Linked DNA regions of Tamandua tetradactyla. The protein of the gene in region 2 purifies or fractionates together with the protein of the main gene of each other region. This does not show direct contact. Links are inferred from orthologs where the notes say so. Each region holds a gene or a part of one and is shown on either strand. Other genes may lie near its edges.

Region 1 (11,169 bases), on a different chromosome or scaffold from region 2:
TTGTTCAAACTCTAAAACATCAAACATTTGCTCTCAGTTCAACCACTAACTCAGTGGATTTCCTGATTTGTGTTTATATTCTCCCTGAACTCAAACAAAGCTTCTGATGGATGAGGAGGGACCCTAATTTCTGAAGATTATCCACCACCCCTCCACCCCCCATCCCCACCCCCACCCCCGCTCCACCTGAAGCCTGGGGCTGATTGAATCAAAATATTATCTCCCTTGGGTCTAGAAGTCTCCAACTTAAATATTAACTCCTTCCTCTTCCTAGGTTCTTCTGGCCTTTCCTGCCCTGCTCCATTCTCTTCTCCCATTCCACCTCCAGAATGATCTCTCTAGAACAGGGTCATTAACGCAAATGCTTAATGAGCCAGGCTGGTAGCATAAATGCCTCAAGGCTAGAGGCAAGAAGCCATGCAAAATATTTAAGCTGGTGTTTGCGTTCGTGTGTGTGTGTGTGTGTGTGTGTGTGTGTGAGAGAGAGAGAGAGAAAGAGAGAGAGAGAGAGAGAGAGAGAGAGAGAGAGAGAGAGAGATGATCAGTCTGCACTTTGAAAATATTGTGTTGGTATCTGGGAATCGATTGAAGGAGCACAGAAGCAGAAGTAGTGAGGCCAGTTAGAAGCTGACAGAAGTTCAGGTGAAGCATTATGGAACCACAGATGGAGGTACAGGCGATTTAGATAGAGAAATGTGGGTGAGATTTGTATTATGAGGTATAAACAATAGTTCTTTTTTAATGCAAATTTACTGAGATATATTCACATACTATATAATCATCCAAAGTGTACAATCAGTGGTTCACAGTATCATATAGTTGTACATTCACTACCACAATCAACTTTTTAACATTTTCATTACTCTAAAAAAATAAAAATAAAAATAGAAATAAAAAGGAATGCCCACAATATCCCATAGCCCTTCTCAGATCCCTTCCCCCCATATCATTTACTTATTTTTTGTCCTTATTTTTTACTCTTCTATTTGAACTCTGGATAAAGGGAGTGTCAGCCACAAGGTTTTCACAATCACACAGTCACATGTAAAAACTATATAGTTATACAATTGTCTTCAAGAATCAAGGTTACTGGAACACAGTTCAGCAGTTTCAAGAACTTCCCTCTAGCCACTCCAGTAAACCATAAACTAACAAGGGATATCTACATACTGCATAAGAATAACCTCCAGGATAGCCTCTCAACTCTGTTCAAAAGCTCTCAGCCACTGAAACTTTGTTTCATTTCTCTTCCCTATTTTGGTCAAGAAGGCTTTCTCAGTACCATGATGCTGGGAGTCATGTACCATATTGCCAGGAAGATTTACATGCCTGGGAGTCATCTCCCATGTAACAGAGTGGGCAATGAGTTTATCTGCCGCGTTGGCTTAAAGAGGAGGCCACATCTGAGAAACAAAAGAGGTTCTCTGGGGGGGGAGTCTTAGGCCTAATTATAAGGAGGCTTAGTTTCTCCTTTGCAGGAATAAGTTTCATAAGGGTGAGCACCAAGATCGAGGGCTTGACCTGTTAAATTGGTAGTCCCCAATGATTGTGAGAATATCAAGAATTTTCCCGTTGGCAAAGTTTAATATTTCCACATTTCCCCCCAGTCTCTGAAGGTTGCTTTGCAAATTCTGCTTTATTTTCTGCCCAGATTACTCTGGGATATATCAGGGCATGATACTAACCTGTACAAACCAACAAGATCTCAGTCCCTATTCAAGGTTCCAAAAACAATAGTTCTTACTAATACATTGGTGGAGATAGAGCAGTGAGACAATGGGGGAAAATTAAGGACAAGTCCCAGATTTCTGGCTTGTGCAGTGAGTTTTGGAGCAGTTCCCTAAGACAGAGGACGCTGGACAAGGAGCAAGTAAAGGTAGCCAAGAGAATGGGAATTTCATTCTTTTGTACACATTTTATTTTTTGAGTGCCTAGTTGGTGCCAGCCTCTTTCTATACAAAGACAGAAATGGTTCCTGCTCTCAAGCAGCTCACCTTCTTGTTGGGCAATAAATAAAAAAGATAATTATACTTCAAATTCCAAGCAGGCTTCACTGGCCTATGGGTTCAAACAAAGTTTCATGAATATCAGCCATGCAGAATTCCTGCTCTTACTTCTGGAAAGTCCCTTTCAATTGTTTCTGGGATGCTTCAAGGGACTTTTCACATGTTGCTCACAGACAAAGCTGCCTGTGGACTGCAGTGACTACGTCCCTCAGCCCTGCTGTGCTTCCCTCTGCCCCTGCCCACTGCCCCCTACCAAAGGTACCCTCTGTGAGAATACTAAGGGTAACGTCAGGACCACAGGAAGGCAAGCAAGGAGGATGGCCCTGCAAGTGAGTGCTTTCTTAAGTTTTGCTAGCCCTGAAGCTCTCAAGGGGCTGGACCAAGCCCCAGCCCAGGAAGGAGGAGACACTTCCAAACTGGGAGCTATGTTAAGTCACCTGGGCCCAAAAGCAGCACTGCTAGTACCTGCAGCTTGAGTTCTGTTAGAGGGGACAGTTGAGTTTCAAGGGCCTTTGAGACATCCAAATGGACATATGTCCATGATGTAATTGGCTATCAGGATCTGGAACTCATAAGTTTGGGTTGGAGATCTGAATTCCAGAGCCTTAAGTGTGGAGGACACAGTACACAGGCTCAGGGCCAAGCTCTGCTGAAATCCCATCATTTAAATGTCCTGCCCTTGCTCCACCTGGCAACTCCCCAAAGATCCAACTTCCCTAACTCATCCTGGCAGTTGGTCGGTCACTCCTTCCTGTGTGTTCCCACAGCTCTTTGTATATTCTTCTATTACCTAGCTATAGTCAGTGAAAATGATACTGCGTGGTAACTCTTGGCTTATTTATTTGTCTCCTTCACTAAACAGTGAGCTCTTCGAGGACAGGGACTCTCTCTTATTCAATGTTGACTCCCGCCCCTCCCCCCATCCCTTCTCCTCTCCCTCTATATATTTGGCACTCAGTAGGTTTAAGATTAAACAGACAAACTACACTCTTGGAAGAGAAACCCTCCTGCCCAGAGACAGAGCTATTCTCTCCTGGGAACTGGCTGTGATGCAGGGGAAGTAGATGGGGCCTGCTAGACACCCATCCATGGAGGTCACACAGGTCCAGCAACTGCAGGCAAACTTTAATCCTCCAGCCCATCCATTAGGGACTCAAGTGAAAGTGAAAGTCTGCACTAAAGTACTCAATTAATGTGTGTAGTAATAATAACAATGACCGCTATTGCTTATCAAGCACCTACTAATTGACAACCTCTATGCTAAGTGCTTTACAGACACTATCTCTTTTAATCCTAATAGCTCTGAGATAGGTATTGTTATTACCCCTTGTTTTCTGAAGGAGGAGGAAGCAGAGGCTGAGCAAGGTGATGTAACTTGCTCGGTCACCAGCATGCAAAAGGTAGAGGCACAATTCGGACCTAGTTCCGTTTGAATCATGGCATTCTCAGTTGTTCCTGCATATTCCACCACAGTAACTGGGCGGGGAAAAGAAACTTGGTCTTCTTGCTTGGCCTTCCCCTTCCAAAACAAAGCCTAGCTATAGTCAGTGAAAACGATACAGATTACACACTACGCCTTTCAGACCCAGAACCAACATAAAGTACCCAAAAATCTTCATTAGGCACAAACTGTCATAAGAATAATGAGGTGTCAGGAGGTTAACACTGGTGTTGTTGATGTGCACAGGAACCCTGTGAGGCAGATGCCATGCATGACCCTCACGTTACAGGACACAAAGGCTCAGAGAGGTTGTGATTTTCCTAATGACATACAGCATTTTCCTAATGACAAAGCGTCGCTGGATTTCAGTTTGTCTACCTCACTCCAAAGTCAGAGTCTTTTGACTCTTTTGATTCTGATCAACACAAAATGAACTTCAGACCTCTGGGCCTTCAGGACAGGATTACTCTTTCCTAATCCCAGGAAGAGCCCCACAAAAGGAAGACAGCCGCATCACTTGGTAAAAATAAGGACACGGCAGCATCAATAACCTCGTCTCAGATTACCTTTTGTGCTTCTCACCAGAAAAGCATACCCCATCCCACCCTCCAGAGAAGGTAAGGGTTTGGCAGCCACAGGAAAGGCTGTTGATTCTAGTCTGGAAAACCCACAGATAACACACTACCCAGCTTCTTCTCAGACCCTTCTTTATAAAAGTTTTATTAGTTATCTCAAGGTACCTCCATTTGGGCATCTCATTACAGCACAGGGACACTTCAGCCATTTGTAGTCCACCACCCAAGCAGGATTTTCAATGATGGTGGGAGAAATGAGTTACAAGGGAGCTATAATTTCTCCTGGCTCCTTTTCTGCTCCTCCATGCAATAGCTCCCTAGACCCACCTATTCCTTTACAGTACACAATTGGATTACCCCCATTCCTGAATGCATCTCTGGCACTCTCATCTCTGCTCATTTACTCACAATTCTCTTTACCCAGAACTCATCCTCCCCTAGTTGAAATCTATCTTCTCCTACTTTGAACTTCATTAGCACTAAATTTTCACTTATATTTAGCACTTGTTACATTTATATTTTGCATTGCAATTATTCAAAAATGTTCTCTCTTTTTTCTTCTACTTGGCTGTAAACCACCTGAGGACAACGGCCACTTTTTTTTTTTGGAGGGGGGGTGGTGCATGGTCCGAGAATCGAACCTGGGTCTCCTGCATGAAAGGTGGGCATTCTAACCACTGAACTACCCATGCACCCCAAAAGCCACTTCTTATATGACATCAAAGAAAAGTATTGCTCCCGACACTGAAGTTAAAAAAAATATTGGGGCCTAGAGTCTAATGGGGGGGGAGGGTAAGACTGGTAAGATAATTTATGGAGATTTGTGTTTTGTTCTCATTTCTGAAGGTAATTTCTCTCTCCCACCCCCAAGAAGGTAGTCAGGCCTTTATGTTCCCTAGTTGAATGCTTTTACCTCTCATATCCAAAAATCAATAGTTTCCAGGCACCCTGAAAATAATTTCCAGAAACATCTTTGAAAAGGGTAGGCTCATTAGGGGAAATGATCCAAAGGGAAAAGAAATTGAGTGCCGTCAATGGGAGAAGTGAAAATCTGTGGATGGAAGGAAAAGTTAGAGAAATCACCAGATTTTTGAGGGGATATGGGAAAATAAAGACAGGCTCTGCTTGCATATAACACCCCAGGATGAGAATGTTGTGGGATTGATTGTGATAATGGATGCACAACTATAAGATGATACTGTGAACCACTGATTGTACACTTTGAATTATTATACAGTATGTGAATATATCTCAGTAAAATTGCATTTTAAAAACAACAACTCCTATATAAGACAACTGGCCCATTTAGTGGGGGAAAACCTAGGCATTAGATCAAAAAGGAGAAAAATTTGATCTGTTCCATCTAATTAAATTATCATGGAAGAAAAAAAAAAAAAGATGCCGTCGGAGAATGTCCTCTTCGTATCTTGGCCTTCAGAGCAGTGGCAAGGGTTTGTCTCTTTCAGCAAGTATGGAACAATCTATAGTGAGGGGCCCAACGAAGACAAGAGCAATAACACTCAAAACCACTTGGTGTGTATATGTTAGAAACACTTAACCAGCAGGAATCAGTACTATATGTAAGAGCTAAAATGTTTCTTTTAAGAAAACATCTCTGAACAACAGTGGCTAATGTTTCAATGTCTACTATATTGGAAATCACAGGATATGAATTCTCTCGTTTCCTGGATTGGGGCTGGGGTCCTTTTCTTTGCTAGGCCTCCGATCTGTACCTTCACTCTTAATTCAAATCCTCCAGATTTCAAGGTTTCCACAGCGCCGTTCTCCCTCTTTCTGCCTCCAAACCTTCCTTCCCCATTTCCATTCCTCATAGCTGCTCGAGACTTTAACTTATCTTCCCCTCCTCATCCCTGTCTCCTGGTGCCCTACCTCTTCCCCTTTCCCTACTCCAGGCAGCCTCTCTCCCTTCTCTTCCTGCCCAGGCAGCCTCGATTCTCTCTTCTTCGTCTTCACCAGTCCCTCAACCCAGGTCTCCTCTCATTTCCTCCCTTCAGCGAACCCCCTGCACCCCACCCCCACCCCCAAGTCCACCCTATTGAGCGCAGATTAGCCGTTGGAGGGGGCGTAGCCTCGCAAGTAACAGGCCTCCTGCCCCACACTCCGCCCCCCCGCCCGCAGACAAAGACATTCCATAGTCCCCGCCCCCTTCGCTCTGTCGATCTGAAGGGGGAGGAGACACGTGTCCCGCTAGGGTCGAGTCACGTGGCAAAGAAACCTAACGAAGCCCGCGGCGACCTGCGCATGCGCAAAAAGCTTAGGCCTGTCGAACTCGGAGGGAAAAGGGAAATGGGGAGGAGACTTCTTCGAGCGCTGCAGTGGTGCGCAGGCGCCATGGCCCAATTGGGGACTTTGTTCTCCGCGGAGAAACCCAAGGGCGGTGCCGGTGACTGGCTGCGCACGCGCGCCGTCTCATTTCCGGTGCTCTCTTTCGCTGGGTCGCTCGGGTCGGCTTCGGTCGCTGTCGCTCCCGCTCTCCCACCTCCGCCAACCGCCGCTAGGGCCTCTGCTGTTGCCGCGTCGCTTCCTCGATCCTTCGACTACACAGCCTCCCAGATGCAGCGCCGGGACGACCCCGCCGCGCGCATGATCCGGTCCTCGGGCCGCAGTGGCTCCATGGACCCCTCAGGAGCCCACTCCTCAGTGCGTCAGGCACCGTCTCGGCAGCCTCCGCTCTCTCACCGGTCCCGGGGAGGCGGAGGAGGATCCCGGGGAGCCGCCCGGGCCTCGCCCGCCACGCAGCCGCCACCGTTGCTGCCGCCCTCGGCCACGGGTCCCGACGCGACAGTGGGCGGTCCAGCGCCGACCCCTCTGCTGCCCCCTTCAGCTACTGCCTCGGTCAAGATGGAGCCGGAGAACAAGTACCTGCCTGAACTCATGGCCGAGAAGGACTCGCTCGATCCTTCCTTTACTCATGCCATGCAGTTGCTGACGGCAGGTAAGCGGACCGCTCGGGTCCCTCTGGGTCACCCGGCCACCCAGTGGCGTGGGTGGCAGCGGCTTTGTTCCTCTCGCTTCCCGCGCCTCCGGGACCGAGACGGTCGTGGACCCTTCTTCCCCTTTCATCCTCGTCCTCCGTATAGCTGGATTCCAAATTCCTCTCCTTGCTCGGGGTGCGAGGGAGAATTTCTGCGATGGAGGTTCGAAGGCGGCTCGGCGATCTCTTAGCGCAGAGATCTTGATGGATGGTGCTGAGTTCCCCGCCTCTTTCCTAACCCTCCTCCCTCCCACCTCTTGCAGCTGCCCCGCGCTCCAAGTGTTCAGCTTCTTCCAGAAATGAATGTGTATCTCCCGATTCCCCCACGGGGAAAACCTTTTCGATGGCTGGTGGTGGTACGCGTCTCAACTGAGAGCATAGGAAATGAAGACTGAACCCGAGCGAGGAGGGACTGTGGGAGGCCGAGGTGTGGTTCAGGTTGAGGCTGGAGTGCCCTGTCCAGCGCGCCGCCAACGCTAGGGCTGGGTGGGTCTTGGTGGTGACTGAAGATTGAGTTGCCCAGAGGTTGTAGCTAGCGACCAGTGAGGGTCGGAACTTGAGGTTTTCGGAAACAAATCTCCGAGTTAGGTCGATAAAATGATTGTTACAGAGCTGGAAGATTGGTGACCTTAGTTTTACAACGTGTGTTCACTCTCATCATTCAAGAAAGGGAAAAATAGCCCTATAGACAGTGGTATGGGATGATAGAGGAAGGTAAGGGACACCAGGGTGGTTTGCCAAACATTTCCGAAGAAGATGGACAATTATAGATTATTGAGATAAGTTGCGCGATGGTTGTACCTAAAAGGCTTGTGAGTGGTTTTTTTTTTTTCCTTCTTTTTGCTTCAGTAGTGAAATAGAGATTAGGAATGTTAGTCTTTGTTCTCTGTAGACTAGCTCTCCTTTTCTGATCAGCACTGACCAATCCCCTTGTCGCTGTGATTTCTTCCCAAAGCCGGCTGTTTTACCTTAGCTTCTAGTTAAAATATTATTTTAATAGGTATTTCTTACGGTACCTAAATTTTATTAAGCAAGTAAAATTTTACAGCGTTCGACACTGAATGAGTAGTTAGATGATTATAAATGAAATGATCCCTTTGTTCTCTTATCTCCCAACATTGATAAGGGGTCTTTACTTTTAAACACAAAAAGCAAAGCTCCCAGTGGTCAAGAATAAAATATTTGATAAAACTGTTGACGCTTTTCAACTCAGTGCTTTACTGTTCTGAAATTCTTTCGGATTGTTTGGAACATTACTACTATTCCTTGTGTTCTTCTAGCAAGCTCTTTGAGGCCAAGGACTGCTTTTTCTTTTTCTTTTTCACACTGCCTTGCATATTGCAAACACCAAGTGTTTGGTTGAACCTGGTAACATGTACTTGCAGGCTAAGTGGTAAAGGTTGATTTAGTTTAATTTTATTTCCCCAAATCTTTAAATTCAGTCCACCTTAAATGCATCAGAAGAAAATAACAAGCTTTAGAACATTAAGGTGTTGGAACCAGTTTAAAATTCTACCCACAATTAGTTATGTGTTCTTGGGAAGTTTTCTCAGCCTTAATAACCTCATCTGTAAAGTGGGAATGATAAATTACGAGGAGTAAATGATGTGTAAAAGCACTAGCACAGTTTCCTTTGGCCTATAATCATTAAGTAATAAATTGTCATCACACTTGTCTTCTAGTTATAAATCCATGGTACTGAATAAGATATGAAAACTAAAGATATTTTCTGACCTTTTGGAGTGTCCAGTGTGATGTTCATGTTTTAAGTTAAAAAAAAAAAGGTTTCTTAGGATAATCATTTAAAAATACTGATCCTTAAAAGTTAAAATTTTCACCCTCCCCTCACTGCTTAATTTCTGTTATCCAAGAGCATGCTCTTTAATTTTTTTGGTATTGGCTATGCCCTTTTTTTTTTAACCAAATTGAAATTTTTATTTGGAGAAATGGAATTGATGTGATGTTGGCTCAAAGAGAGAACAGAATTGAAATACTGGATACCTCTTAGCATGTATAAGTCTTGATATATGATGGGCCTGACTTTTGTGGTATTTCTGAATGATTTGGAAAAAAAGTTGCAGTGAAGTCACAATCAACTTCAAGAAAATGAGACTGAGGAGACAGTATTTTAGCACTGATGAGGACACATGTTAAGTGCCGGGCACTGGTCTGAGTTCCTTACATTAAATGTTTAATCTTCAGGATCACACTATGAGGAAGTTACTCTTAACCTTATTTTCACAGATGAGGAAACTGAAGCATATAGAGATGAAATAGTTTACCCAAGGAAAGTTAATAAGTAACAGAGCTAGGATTTAAACTTATTCTGAGTTTGGATCCACACACCTACTCCACCACCCCCACCTGCACCAAACTGTACTTAAAAATTAAGCCCTAAACAATTAAAAAAAAGAATTAAGCCCTAATTGGTTAAAATATTAAGATAAATCTATTTGAAAATATCAGACAACTAACATGGTAGTAAAGATGACAAGGCCAAGAAGCAAGAGGAGATGGAAACCCAGGAGAACAGAGCCAAGCACTTGGAACTGCAGTTCTCTCAGGCATCTCTGCCCATTCCCAAAAGGTGTCTTGAAGCCCAGACTACTTGCTACACCCCATCCCAACCCTGACACACACACACACACACACACCTGTCCCTGTCCCATTCCCAACTTTATTTTGCACTTACAGCATCTTGATACATTATATATTATAATTATATATTTGTTTGTTTACCTATCCCTTCTCATTCATGGCTAGATTGTCAGTGCTGTGAGGGCAAGGATTTTTGTCTGTTTTGTTCACTGCTGTATCTCTTATGCCTAGAAGAGTGCTGTACAGTGGCCTTTTACTGAAGAGTTAATGAATGAATGTTCTTCTTCATTATGTGATGGAAAAATAACACAGTTTTGAGGGATGTAGATTTTTTAATATAAACTTGTAAATTAGCCAACTTGTTATTCAGCTGTGATGGCAATTAAATGCAATTGCAAACATAAGGACTCAGAAAGTCAGTAACCCATGCTTGTTTTCTGAAAGAAAAAAATTTATTTGTGTTAACATATTTACAAAGTATAAGATGCTTTTATATACAGTAAGTGTTCTTTTTCTACTTTTTACAATTAGGAAAACATAAGTTAGTATAAATGACTCAGAAATAAACATTTAAACAAATTAACAATCTCCAGACGATTTTAAAAGGAGACTCAGAAGTGCATCCTCCAGAAGCGTGCAGTGGAGAACATTTTACAATCTGTAGACCCGTCAAGATTGTTAATTCCTTTATTTGACTTATGTTATAGAAAGATAGTGAGACCCTAGTTCATTCTACACAGCTAGCAAAACCTCTTATTAAAATTAGAAAGTGGCATTGCAAAGGAACTGTGGGGCAAATGTAGTGTATAAATATTAGAAAAGAGTCAAAGCTTCATTATTGGCAACAGCATCATTGTTCACCTAGGAAAGTGGTCATTAGTGCAGCTGATTACCAGATGAAAATGTATAGATCTATAGGGTTCTAATATACAAGCAATTAGAAAATGAATGGACCAAAGGATCTTGTTAGAATAATATAAAATACCATGGAATAAACAACATTAGCACAAGATGTATGTGAATAATCATAATAATAATATTAGTATAATTTTAATTTTTGTAGAGCATATTACATGGCAGGTAATGTGCTGCTCATTTTATAGTCATTATCTCCATTCTTCTGGTCATTCTATCAACAGGAAGAATTTCTTATCTTAATGTTACAGATAAATATGTAATCACATGGTTACTCAATTTAAAATTTTACTGAAGGTTATGAAGGAATATCTGAATAGAGAAATATGTGATGTCCTTGGTGGCAGAGGGAGGGGGAAGATGACAGTAGATTTAAATTAACTTGTTGATTTTGTACACTTTCCAAACATTTCAACTTGATTCATTTTTTTCTTTCAGTTTGACAAATTGAATATAAGGTAGCTAAAAGAGTAAATAAGGATAAATAAGTAGAAACTTTTTTTGAGATAGGAAAGTAATAATCTAAGTTGACAAAAAATTTTGAAGTCAAACAGTACTTCAGACTTGAGAGAATGTGCAGTAGAAGGAACTCTTAAACCTTACTGGTGGAAGTGTGAATTGATATAACCACTTTGGTAA
Region 2 (10,300 bases):
AACACAAAAAAGGTTAACGCAGAAACAGGACACAAACCCAGGTTGCCTAGGCAGAGATCACCTCCTGCTATACCACTCTACCTCTCCACCAGCTATCTATCCAATTCCAGAAGGTGTAAAAAGAGTACAAGGAGTCTGCAAGTTCCTAGGTGCCAAATAATGCATCCTTACTATCAAAAATGGGTTACTATGGGTAGACAAAGGCTCTTCAGATGAACCAAGATGATCCTGGGGGAAAACTGCCCATCCTGGACAAGAGAAAAAAACAGCCAAGGTCCAAGGTGAGTAAGGTCAGGTACTTGCACACTCAGTAACCCTAGGCATGAGTGGACTTTGCAGAAAAGGCAGCTGAGAGAGGAAGTAGTTTGCCTAAAACCTTAAAGCAGCAGCTAAGACTACACAGCTTTGAACTCAAGCCTGCCAGGCTCCAAAGCTCAAACTCTTTCCACACACAACCTGACCTCCATACCATCCAACAGACTCCTTGTCACCACAGCACACCAAAAAAAAAAAAAAAATCAGTCTGCCAACCCTGATTTTTGTACCAATAGGCCACTTGTCCTGCCCACCAAGCCTTGATGGCTGGGAAGGAAAAGAGGGGGCAGGGAAGAGAGGAGAGGAATCCAGTACTTCCTCAAAAGATACCTACCATTCTCTGCCACCTCCAGGTGAGTTCCCTAAAATTCCAAAGCCAAATAACACCTCACCAGCACCCCTTTCTTACCTGATCAATGAAAAAACTGAGGTCCAGAAAGCATAGATAAAGCCTATTCTGGCTTACCAGGCAAAGTAAACAAAACAGGGCCAGAGCTGTCAACCAAATGCCCTGGCTTACAGTGCCAGGCCCAGCTTCTTCAACCAACAGCCCACCTCAGCGCGTGCACACACCAAAGAGCTCTACGCGCACACACACACGCGCACACACACGCACACACGCACACGCACACACACCAAAGAGCTCTGTGAGGTACTTAAGCTCAGGACGTTTACAAGCCATTCTTTTTATAGGGAAGACTCTCAGCAAGGCAGCCATACCTGGGAAAGGAAATCCCTAACATCACCACCACCCTAGCACCTGGACCCCAAAGTACCAAAAGGTCTCCTAAAGTAAGCAGGGGTATGTATGTTCACAGCATTGGGATGAACAGAAAACCTGAGTGGGGCGCCAGATTCACTATCTGGGCTCCCCCTCAACAATTCCCCTCTTTCCAAAGGGTTCAATTGATCTCCAGGTTACAAATGCCTCCAGTGACAGTTCAGGACCAAGACTGGAGTTACAGTCAGCAAAAAGTCTAAAGGCTAGACCAGCCGAAGCAGGGAGAAGAGGAGCATTTTCTTCTGCTTCAAGTACAAGCCTCTCCTCTGTCACTGAGAAGTGAAAGTTTCATGAGCCCACAGGGTTTTATCTCCTTGTTCTTATGAGAAAAAGCAGAAGGGAGGGACTCCCAAACTAGGAGATGCAAAGGGGGTGAAGGGAGGCGTTTTTCTAGCCATCATGACAGCATAGGACTTTCTTTCTTTCTCTCCCTGGGTCCAGGGATGGATCACTCCCTATTCCTTTGGGGAGGAAAGGCAGACTTCACCCCAATTCAGGAGAGAAAAAACAACAAATGATGGGTGGAAAGAGAATGAGAACAGAAGGTTCAAGAAAAGGCCCTGGTCCCTATGAAGTGCATCAAGGGTGAGTGGGATGTGGGAAAAGAATTTCCCTGGAGTGGGGAGGCCCCAAACCCTTTCCCTATCCCTGAAAAGAAGAAAGCTTCTCAAATACAGGAGTTCAGGAAGCTTAGAATATTTCCCAGACTGTGGAAGTGGGAAGCAAGCATAGTTGAGTCAGAGTCAGACTCAGAATACCTCCAGTTCCTGAAGGGAGGCCTCAGATTCCATGTCCCAGGACAGATCCCCTAGAAAGTAGGGGAACCTTCCTGGCCCTAACCTTGAGAGGGTTTAGGGTAAGGGATTCTTATGACCCTGAAGGGGCACTCAGGCTGTTCTGTTCAATAGAGGAAGTTTAGGCCACGCTGGGAGAACCTTAGGTACCTTTCCCTGGTGAGAATGAATTATCTGGTGGGGGGGGGTGAGGGAGGGATGAGGGAGCTGCACACTCAAAGAAGGCTCCAGCCCCAGTTCAAAAGGGGAAAGATCTCTTGAATTTGAGGGGAAGGTCAGGCCCCTGGAAAAAGGCTCAGAGCCTGTGTCTCAGAATCTCACCCTACCTGGTGTCCCCAAGTTGAATGGGGAGTTCTCAGGACTCAGTTCACAAGTGGGGAGAGGATTCTCAGACACAAGTCTCCAAGGCAAGAAATCTTATATCCATAAAGGTGCCTATGACCTGGGTGTGTGTATGTTGTCTGAGATGAGGTGACAGACAGTATCCTCAGGACAGGTTCAAGTCTCAGGTCCTGAGAGGGGAGGATCTTATGTATCTGAAAGTTCAAATGCTTAAGTGGGGGGACCATGGGGATGGGGACACTCAAGCCTCTGCATCCATGTATCCCATGTCCCAAGGGAAACATCTCAGAGCTCCATTCTGGGGGAGGGGGTGGGGTGGAAAGAATACTCCTGTTCCTTGAGGGAGAAGTCCAGTCCTCATCCTTAGAGACACAGCCATACTGTGGTATGTATGTGGGTCTCCTGTCCCTGAGGGAAAGCTCCAAGTCTCCTTGGCAGAGTGAGTATCAGGTCCGTGGCCCCAAAATGGGAGAACTCAGGCCCTTCAAGGCAGGCTTAGATCCCTGGGTAGGCCTCAGACCCCATCCCTGAGAACACTATGGTGCCCATGTTCCCTGAGTAGTAGTCTCAATACATTAAGGGAAAGCACAGATCCTTGTCACTCAGAGGAAAGATGAGTCTCATGTACCTGAGTAGAGATTCTGGTCCCTGGGGGTAGGTTTTGGCACTTGTCCCCAAGGGGGAGGGGGCTCTCACTTCCCTAAGAGATGTCTTATAACCCGGCAAAAAACCTTGTATCATCTCTAAAGAGTATGCATGTATGTGTGTCAGGCTGTTGATTCTAGAAAAGGGGAGTTTCAGGTCCCTAAAGGCAACCTTAGGACCCTTGAGGATGTCTCAGACCTCACTAATGAACAATCCTATACTGTATCTCCCTGGGAAAGAGGGAAGGTGAGGGTTGTCCCAGGCAAAATGTCTCACAATCCTGAAAAGGTTTAAATACTTTGGGATGCTCAGACTCCATCACTAAGGTCTCCACCTCCTTTGAGTTCCACGGAGGAGAAGTCTCCAGCTTTTATCACCGGGGAAAGAGGATCTTGAACCACGGAACATAGATCTAGTTACCTTGGAGAGAGGCCTGAGATCAGCCACTCCCACTCCTCCGGAGGCTCTTCATCCGGCCAGTGTCCCCTGAGGGTTTCTCACCTACTGGCCCTATCAGCTGAGAGCCTAAAGCCCCGAGTGACTATGAACCCTAGAAGAGGCTTCAGACCCCATCTTTAAGTTCCCCATCTTATCTAGGTCTCTAACCCAGAGTCCTCTGAAGGGAGTGATGTCTCGGGCCACTACCCCTAGAAAAAGGGGTGCCAGGCCCTGAGAGAAAGCTCAGGTCCCTCGAGGTGATCTGAAACGAGCCTTCCTCCGATCCCCAACCAGTCTGAGGATCCCATCAGCCATACCACCCACCACTCGCCGCCACCACCACCTCCCAAGCCCTTACCTGCTCGACAGTAGCAGGGTCCATGGCCTCAATACGTGCTGCGGCCGCTTCATACTCGTCCTCACTGTTGTAGCCTGCGCCGACCTCCTCTCGCTCGGGGCTGCCCCCGCCAACCGCGCCAACCCCAGGGGCTTGACGCCGCCGCTTGCTATGCCCCGGCCCAGAGCAGCAGCCGCCCACCCCCACGGTACCACCCACGCCCACCACCACGCCCGCCGCGCCCACGCCCGCCGCCGCTGCACCTAACGCGTCGCCGGGACCGCCGCCGGGACCGCCAGGACCCCCGCACGGAGGCGGAGAGGCCTGCTGCGGCCGGGGACCCGCCACAGCGCCAGGCGGTACGGCTAGCGCCCAGCGGTGAAGTGCACCCGGTGGGCCGGGTAACGGGCCCTGCGGTGGTGGTGAGGCCCGGGGACGGGCCCCCACTACGCCCGAGTCACGGTCGCGATCCCCGCCACCCACGCCTGTGCCGCCGCCGCCCACGCCCACACCCCCGCCGCGGCGCGGCGCCGGGGGCAGCGGCCCAGGCGGCGGCGGCTCGTTGGTGGGGTCGGCGTCGGGAGGCGGCGGCTTCTTTTTGGGGAGAATAGTCATGGCTGCACCACGGAGTACCCCCCAGCAAACCCGGCGCGCGGCACGCCGGGACGGGACCCGGATGGGAAGGGGGGGGTTCTACGATGGTGCGCGAAGCACGCCGGGAACGGCGGGACCCGGATAAAGGGATTGAGACGCCGGTTCGAGAATTGTCGGTCGCTCCCGAGTCACGCTGGCAGAGATCGGATGTGAAGTCCAAGATGCAGGCACCGCTGCGAGTTTGTCGTGGCCTTCTCTCCAAGTCCAGCACGTCTACTGCTACGCTCGTTTCGGCCTTCTGCTTCGAGGGAAACAGAACCAAAACAAGCCCTCTTCGCCCCGCCCCCTTCGCAGGTTCTTAAACTACCGGGTGGGGCCTGGGCGGCGCTACGCAGGCGCGCCGGGATACCGGCCCGCCCTTCGCTCGGAAGTACGTGGGCAAAATCTCCACTGCCGCCACAACAATTACGGGCACCAACCAATCAGATCAGCTGCGCGGGTTCTCAACGACGCCCACGGGCCAATTAGGAGCGAGCGTTGGCCCTCCGAGCCCTCCACCTTGAGACTTCAAAGTCTGCACCCTTGCTTCCCGCTTTTCTTCCCGTTGACCTCGTCCTGCCTTTCGCTTTTCTTCCCGAGGCTCTGCTTTGCAGGTGTGGGTACTGCGAAAGGCCAGTGCGGCCTGTGCCGCGCCGAGTGACGAGCACGCTTCACCTCCAGGCTCGCACTCTTGGCCGCAGTCAGCCGGACTGACTGGAAAACATCAACACTTCCAGTGCAAAGCAGCCCCTGCAACGTCTTTCCGGTCCCACCCACCTGCAAAAACCCATCAGGCAGAGAGGCGGGTGCCGCTTCACCCTGGCAACAGGCCGGATTCTGCGCTGGTTTGCTAGGAGACGCCGTCACTCACGTCGGAAGGGCCAACCTTGGGACAGAAACGCAACCTCCGAGGGAGCGGTAGGTGTTTGGGAAGCAGACACGCCCTCTCTGGGCACTACGGCAAGCTCGCCCTCGCGTTGACCTCCCCGCCCCTTCAGCTAAAGCGCAGGCGCGGCACAGCATTTTTCTGAAATACTGAATTTGCTTGGGTCTAGTGAATGTTTGCAAACCGACTCTGTCACTGGCTGGCGTCTCACAATGGGGTTGGTAAAAAAATCCCTGCTGTTGAGCGGCTGGAGAGCAGCAAGCTCATCCTAGCTCTGCCCTGCCTGTGTGAATGATCCTTGGCAAGTCATTTAACGCACGCACCGTCTTCAATTTGTACTTCTCTAAAATGCCAACGATGATTCCGGTTTTTTAAAAATGAGGATCAGAGATTGATGTTTGTAAAGGGATTGGTGCTGTGCCTGGCACATAGTGCTCAGTAACTTTGTTTCCGTGGCGGTACAGTGGAAGGATCCCAGGTTCGGGAGACAAGATTTCCATCCCAGTCCCGGATGGATCATCACCAAATAAATGTGTGACCCTAGGCAACTCATTGTATTGTTTTTGTTGTTGTTTTGTTTTAGTTTACTCGTGCAAAATGTGAATGATAATGTTTGTCTAGACAACCTCAGGGAGTAATTATGGTGTTCAGATGGATGGGCTCATGAATCAAAAAGTTCTGAAACGTGAGCGGTCCTTGTAATCTTAGGAGGCAAGCTATACAACAGGTTGAAAGAGAAACCATCAGAAATCTCGTCTGAAAGCCACCTATCTTCTCCCTTCAGATGCCTAGCAAGTTCAAGTTCTTCCCTGAGGGGTGCCAGTAATAAACGGGCTCTAGGGGTGTTTTCTGCTCATGAAACTTTATGGAAGTGAGGGGCACACATTTAGGGGCCTACATTTCCTGGACCACTATGTCAAATGACTTATGCACATTATCACACTGAATCTTCTCGAGATTATCTCACTCCAGAGCCATATCCCACTTCCTACTGAATATTTGTTCAGCACTATACATGTAAAACTGAGCTCTTAAGAATAATCATGGCTAACCTTTGCTAAGTATTTACTATGTTCCTGGCTCTGTGTGGCTAACAGCCTTAATGTTCCCTTTGACAGTGAATGGCACCACCATCCAACAGTTGCCCTAGCCAGAAAACTGGGACTTAACCATGACTGCTACCCTCTCCCTCAACTCCCAGTCAACCCAAACCTGCCAATTCTCCCTCCAAAATCTCTTGACTCCGAATTTCCCGCCATTACTCTGGTCCAAACCACCATCACTTCCCAACTATATACTGAAAAGCCTCACTGTTCTTCCTGCCTCCAGGACTCTCGCTCTATAAAACTCCACATTTCACAGCCTTCTGAAACATGAGCCTCACCATGACTCTCCTGTGGATAGGCCTACAGATGTTCCCATTAACCTTAGGATGAAGTCCAAAATCTGAATCATAGCTTCAGAGGTCTTTTGTGACCTGGCCTACCTCTACATCCTCACCCTCATCACAGCCTAACTCTTCCCCAGCCATACTGAAGTACTTTCAGCTCTCTATATACCCTGAGCTCGCTCTCTTAACTTCCAGGTCATTGCATATGTTGTTCCTTCTGCCCAAGTCGTTTCCGCCCCCTTGCCTTTTGCATGGCTAACTCCAATTCATTTTTCATGTGTAGGCAAGGTTAGGTTCTCCTGCCATCTCTATGCTCTTGTAACCCATCTACCTTTCTTCTACCACACTATATTGTAATTGCTTAATTGTCTTTGCCTTCTGTGTTCAACTCTCTAGTTTAGGGACAACGTCCACTTTACCCATCTTTGCATCCCTAGAATAAACGTGTGATATGTGTTTAATAAATATTTGGTGAACAAATGAGTGATTATCTCTATTGTACAGGTTAGTAGACAGACAAGAAAAGGTAAGTGATTCTCTCACCCAGGAATTGAAACCCAGGTCAACCTGAATTCAAGGTCTGTCTTCTTGTTGCTCCACAGAGTCTAGTCATACACCAACCTAGTATAATCAGTAGCCCAAAAGAGAGAATGTAGGGGACCTCCACGAGGAAAAGGAATGCACCAAACTCAGGGATGCTTTTCATTAGGATTAAATTCAGAGCTGCTTGCTACCAGGAAACCTGGGTTTGAGTCTCCTCCAACCAGCTATGTGCTCCCCTGGGTCTCAGTTTCCCCATCTTGAATAATCAGATAATGTCCGAGGGGTATGTCCCAGGGCATTTTCCTAGATCCCCATCTTCCAGAACATATCATTAACCATCCACCTGCTATACCTTAACCACACCAGCCCTTCTACTAGTTGAAAGGAATGGAAATCAGAGTGTTCTTAACCCGCCAGCCCAACCCAGCTCCCAAGCCCCCAGAGCCAGGAGGAGCTCAGTCCTCATCTCTCCTCTCAGATTTTATTGACTGATGGAAACTACATCTTTGTCAGCCACCAGCTCCACGGGGACAGTGCTAGGGACAGGGAACCTGAGATGATGCCAGAATTCAGCCTGAGAGCAGACACAGAGTTCCAGAAGGTGACCCAAGAGGGAGAAGAGAGAAGAATATGTGAAAAGGAGTTTTGGGGGAGGAGGAGGAGGAGATCGTGAAGTTCCTCTTGCCTCCTACAACTCCCAGAGTTCAGGACCAACCCAGGTCTCAGATCCCTTATGCTTCTGGACTCCAGCCCAAGATCTCCACACACAGCCAAGCACTTGCTGGCTGCTAGACTCTTATCTCAGTCAGTCCAGCCTCCAGCCCAACCCAGGAAGGAAGCAAACCAGAGAAGAGAAGGGAGGAATGGTTAGAGGTGGCCCTTCTGATTAGGGAAAATGTAAATGCTGCAGCAAACTGGGCAGAGGCTTTGCATAATGTCAGAGCAGCAGCTGCTATTGCTAGAGTTTGCTGGAGGCCCGGCAGAGGACGGGTTGCAGGGACCCATTTCCAGCAGCCAGGGAAAAAGGTGTTTGTGCTATCTGTGTGTGTTGGCAGGGGTGACCTGACCCCTCAGACAAGGCCTAGGGATGGCAGGTCACTGCTGAGGCCATAGCCCATGGAAGCCTGTGGTTGCATTCCAAGCTTCAGGGTCTGGGAGTCATTGGGCCTGGTAGAGAGTGGGGACCTCTCCTAGCAACCAGATCAGAAGTGAAGGTTATGTTCTCTGAACACCCAAACCTCCACAGGCCAGCCAGAAAGAAGAAAAAAATCTCAGCTCTCCTACTGGGACCAGAGCTAAGATGACAGATGGGAGCTTTACCTACCTCTAAGGGCCTGAGAGTAGGGGCATGCGGGGGGCCAGCTAGGGGAGAGGGACCAGTCCCCAAGTGCTGGGTCAAGGAAGCTGGGGGCCTGCAGACACCCAGCTCTTCAGCTCCCACCAGGAAAATCATCTGGAGTGGGAGAAGTTTCCTTTTTCCTGGTTATTTCCCTACCAGGTGAGCAGTTCTATGAAACTCCATTGCATAGTTCTCACTGGAGGGCAGAAGGGGTCCCCAGGCCTACCCCTCTGTGCCTCCTCAAAATATGGCTTTGGAAAGGAGGTCCCAAGAGTTGAGAGGGCCCTCTGGCTGGGTAGGCCCACCCTTCACAGGGAAGAGATCTTGACAGTCTCAGAGAGGAGGCAAGGGGTACCCAGGCTGGAGTTCCTGAGGGTGCTGCTGGCCCTGCCGCCGCCGCCAGGGGAAGAAGGCTGACTCTCATCTGGGGTGTTGGCAGGAGGGGTAGGGATACTGATAATGGCAGCCACGAAGTCCCGGCTGTCGCAGTTCAGGTCAAGGCTGTCATGGGGCTTGGCATTGAGGCTTGAACGGCTGTGGACAAGGGTGGGGAAGATGGAAGGCTCTTTAAAAAAGTCATGTCTTAATCATTGCCACAGTAATTATGGCATTTATTGAGCTCCTACTAGCATTTATCAAGCACCTGGCACTGTGCTAACTGCTTCCCCTATATCCTCAATCATGGTAGTAGAGAGTACGGGCTCCAGAGTCAGATAGTCTTGGATTCAAATCCCGGTTCCACTTTAACCACTCCAAGCCTCTCTTTCCTCTCATCTGTAACAAAAGAATAATGATATTTCCTACCTCCTAGGGTTGTTACGGAGAGTAGATGAGATAACGAATGATATAAAGTGCTCAGAACAGGGCCTGGGAACATAATGAGCACACACACACAAATATCATCTGTTGTGAACGATGGACCATAGGTAATAGTACGATGATAAAAATGTTCTTTCAGGAATTATAGCAAAAATACCACATGAAGGCAAAGTCTCAATAATACCATGGTATATGGGAACTTGGTATTGTACGTATTTTATGCATGATTATTCGGTAAACCTTTGACTTATCTAAAAAAATAAAATTTTACAACCTCTTACTAAGAGCAAAAAAAAAGTCACTTATTATGCTTGCTCATAATAACACCCAAGTCTTGACAATAGCCTACAGTAGGTATTGCATAATCTGCCCCCCTCTGCGTTCCTTTCTGATTTTGACTCCTACCACACTCCCCATTGTTCACTCCACTCCAACCACAGTAGGAAGCTGTGTCTCTAACATACAGACACAGTCCTGCCTCAGAGCCTCTGCACAGGCTGTTCCCCTTGCCTATAAAGCTCTTCCTCTAGATATCTCCCTGGCTCACTCCCTTAACTCCTTCAAGTTTTGGCTCAGACATCACCTCAGTAAACCCTTCCTGACTACACTGCTGAAACTGCATTAGCCCCTGGTCTCCACTCTATCACTCCAGCCTGATTTATTTTTCTCCTCGATGTTTACAAATGTTTAACATGCTACACAATCTGCATATGTGTTTGTTCATTAACTGTCTCATCCTGCTAGAATATAAGGTCCAGAAGGACAGGGTTTTCTGTCTGTTCTGTTCACTGCTTCAACCCATGTGCCTAAAACTGCCTGGCATTCAGTAGGTGCTCAATAAATGAATGAAGAACAAGGAGTTCCATACCTAACATGGAGGAGTTCGGGTTCCATCTTGATTTGGCTGCACTTAGAATCAGGAAATCTCAGACCTCCTGGTCCAAGATCTGCACTACCCCAGATATGGCCAGCAGGTGAGAGGGATGCTTACCTCTGAGGGCCAGGGCTCCTCCGCAGCCCAGCCAGTGTGTCTAGCTC

The links. The genes of interacting proteins can lie anywhere in the genome.
Region 1: the proteins of OTUD5 (region 2) and KHDRBS1 purify together in Homo sapiens (affinity purification with mass spectrometry, with the first as the bait; 3 studies listed by BioGRID). This does not show direct contact. The link is inferred for Tamandua tetradactyla from reciprocal best matches to the Homo sapiens genes OTUD5 and KHDRBS1.

What each region holds. Positions count from the first base shown.
Region 1 is NC_135328.1:193,831,743-193,842,911, reverse strand, and holds the start of KHDRBS1 (KH domain-containing, RNA-binding, signal transduction-associated protein 1), read left to right. Parts: upstream 1-6,434; 5' UTR 6,435-6,596; coding exon 6,597-6,978; intron 6,979-11,169. UniProt on the Homo sapiens protein: Recruited and tyrosine phosphorylated by several receptor systems, for example the T-cell, leptin and insulin receptors. Once phosphorylated, functions as an adapter protein in signal transduction cascades by binding to SH2 and SH3 domain-containing proteins.
Region 2 is NC_135353.1:121,201,199-121,211,498, reverse strand, and holds the start of OTUD5 (OTU domain-containing protein 5), read right to left. Parts: upstream 5,130-10,300; 5' UTR 4,726-5,129; exon of another isoform or gene 4,545-4,725; 5' UTR 4,268-4,544; coding exon 3,674-4,267; intron 1-3,673. Other genes in the region: A-type voltage-gated potassium channel KCND1, read right to left, coding at 8,752-8,977, 10,254-10,300. UniProt on the Homo sapiens protein: Deubiquitinating enzyme that functions as a negative regulator of the innate immune system. Has peptidase activity towards 'Lys-48'- and 'Lys-63'-linked polyubiquitin chains. Can also cleave 'Lys-11'-linked ubiquitin chains (in vitro).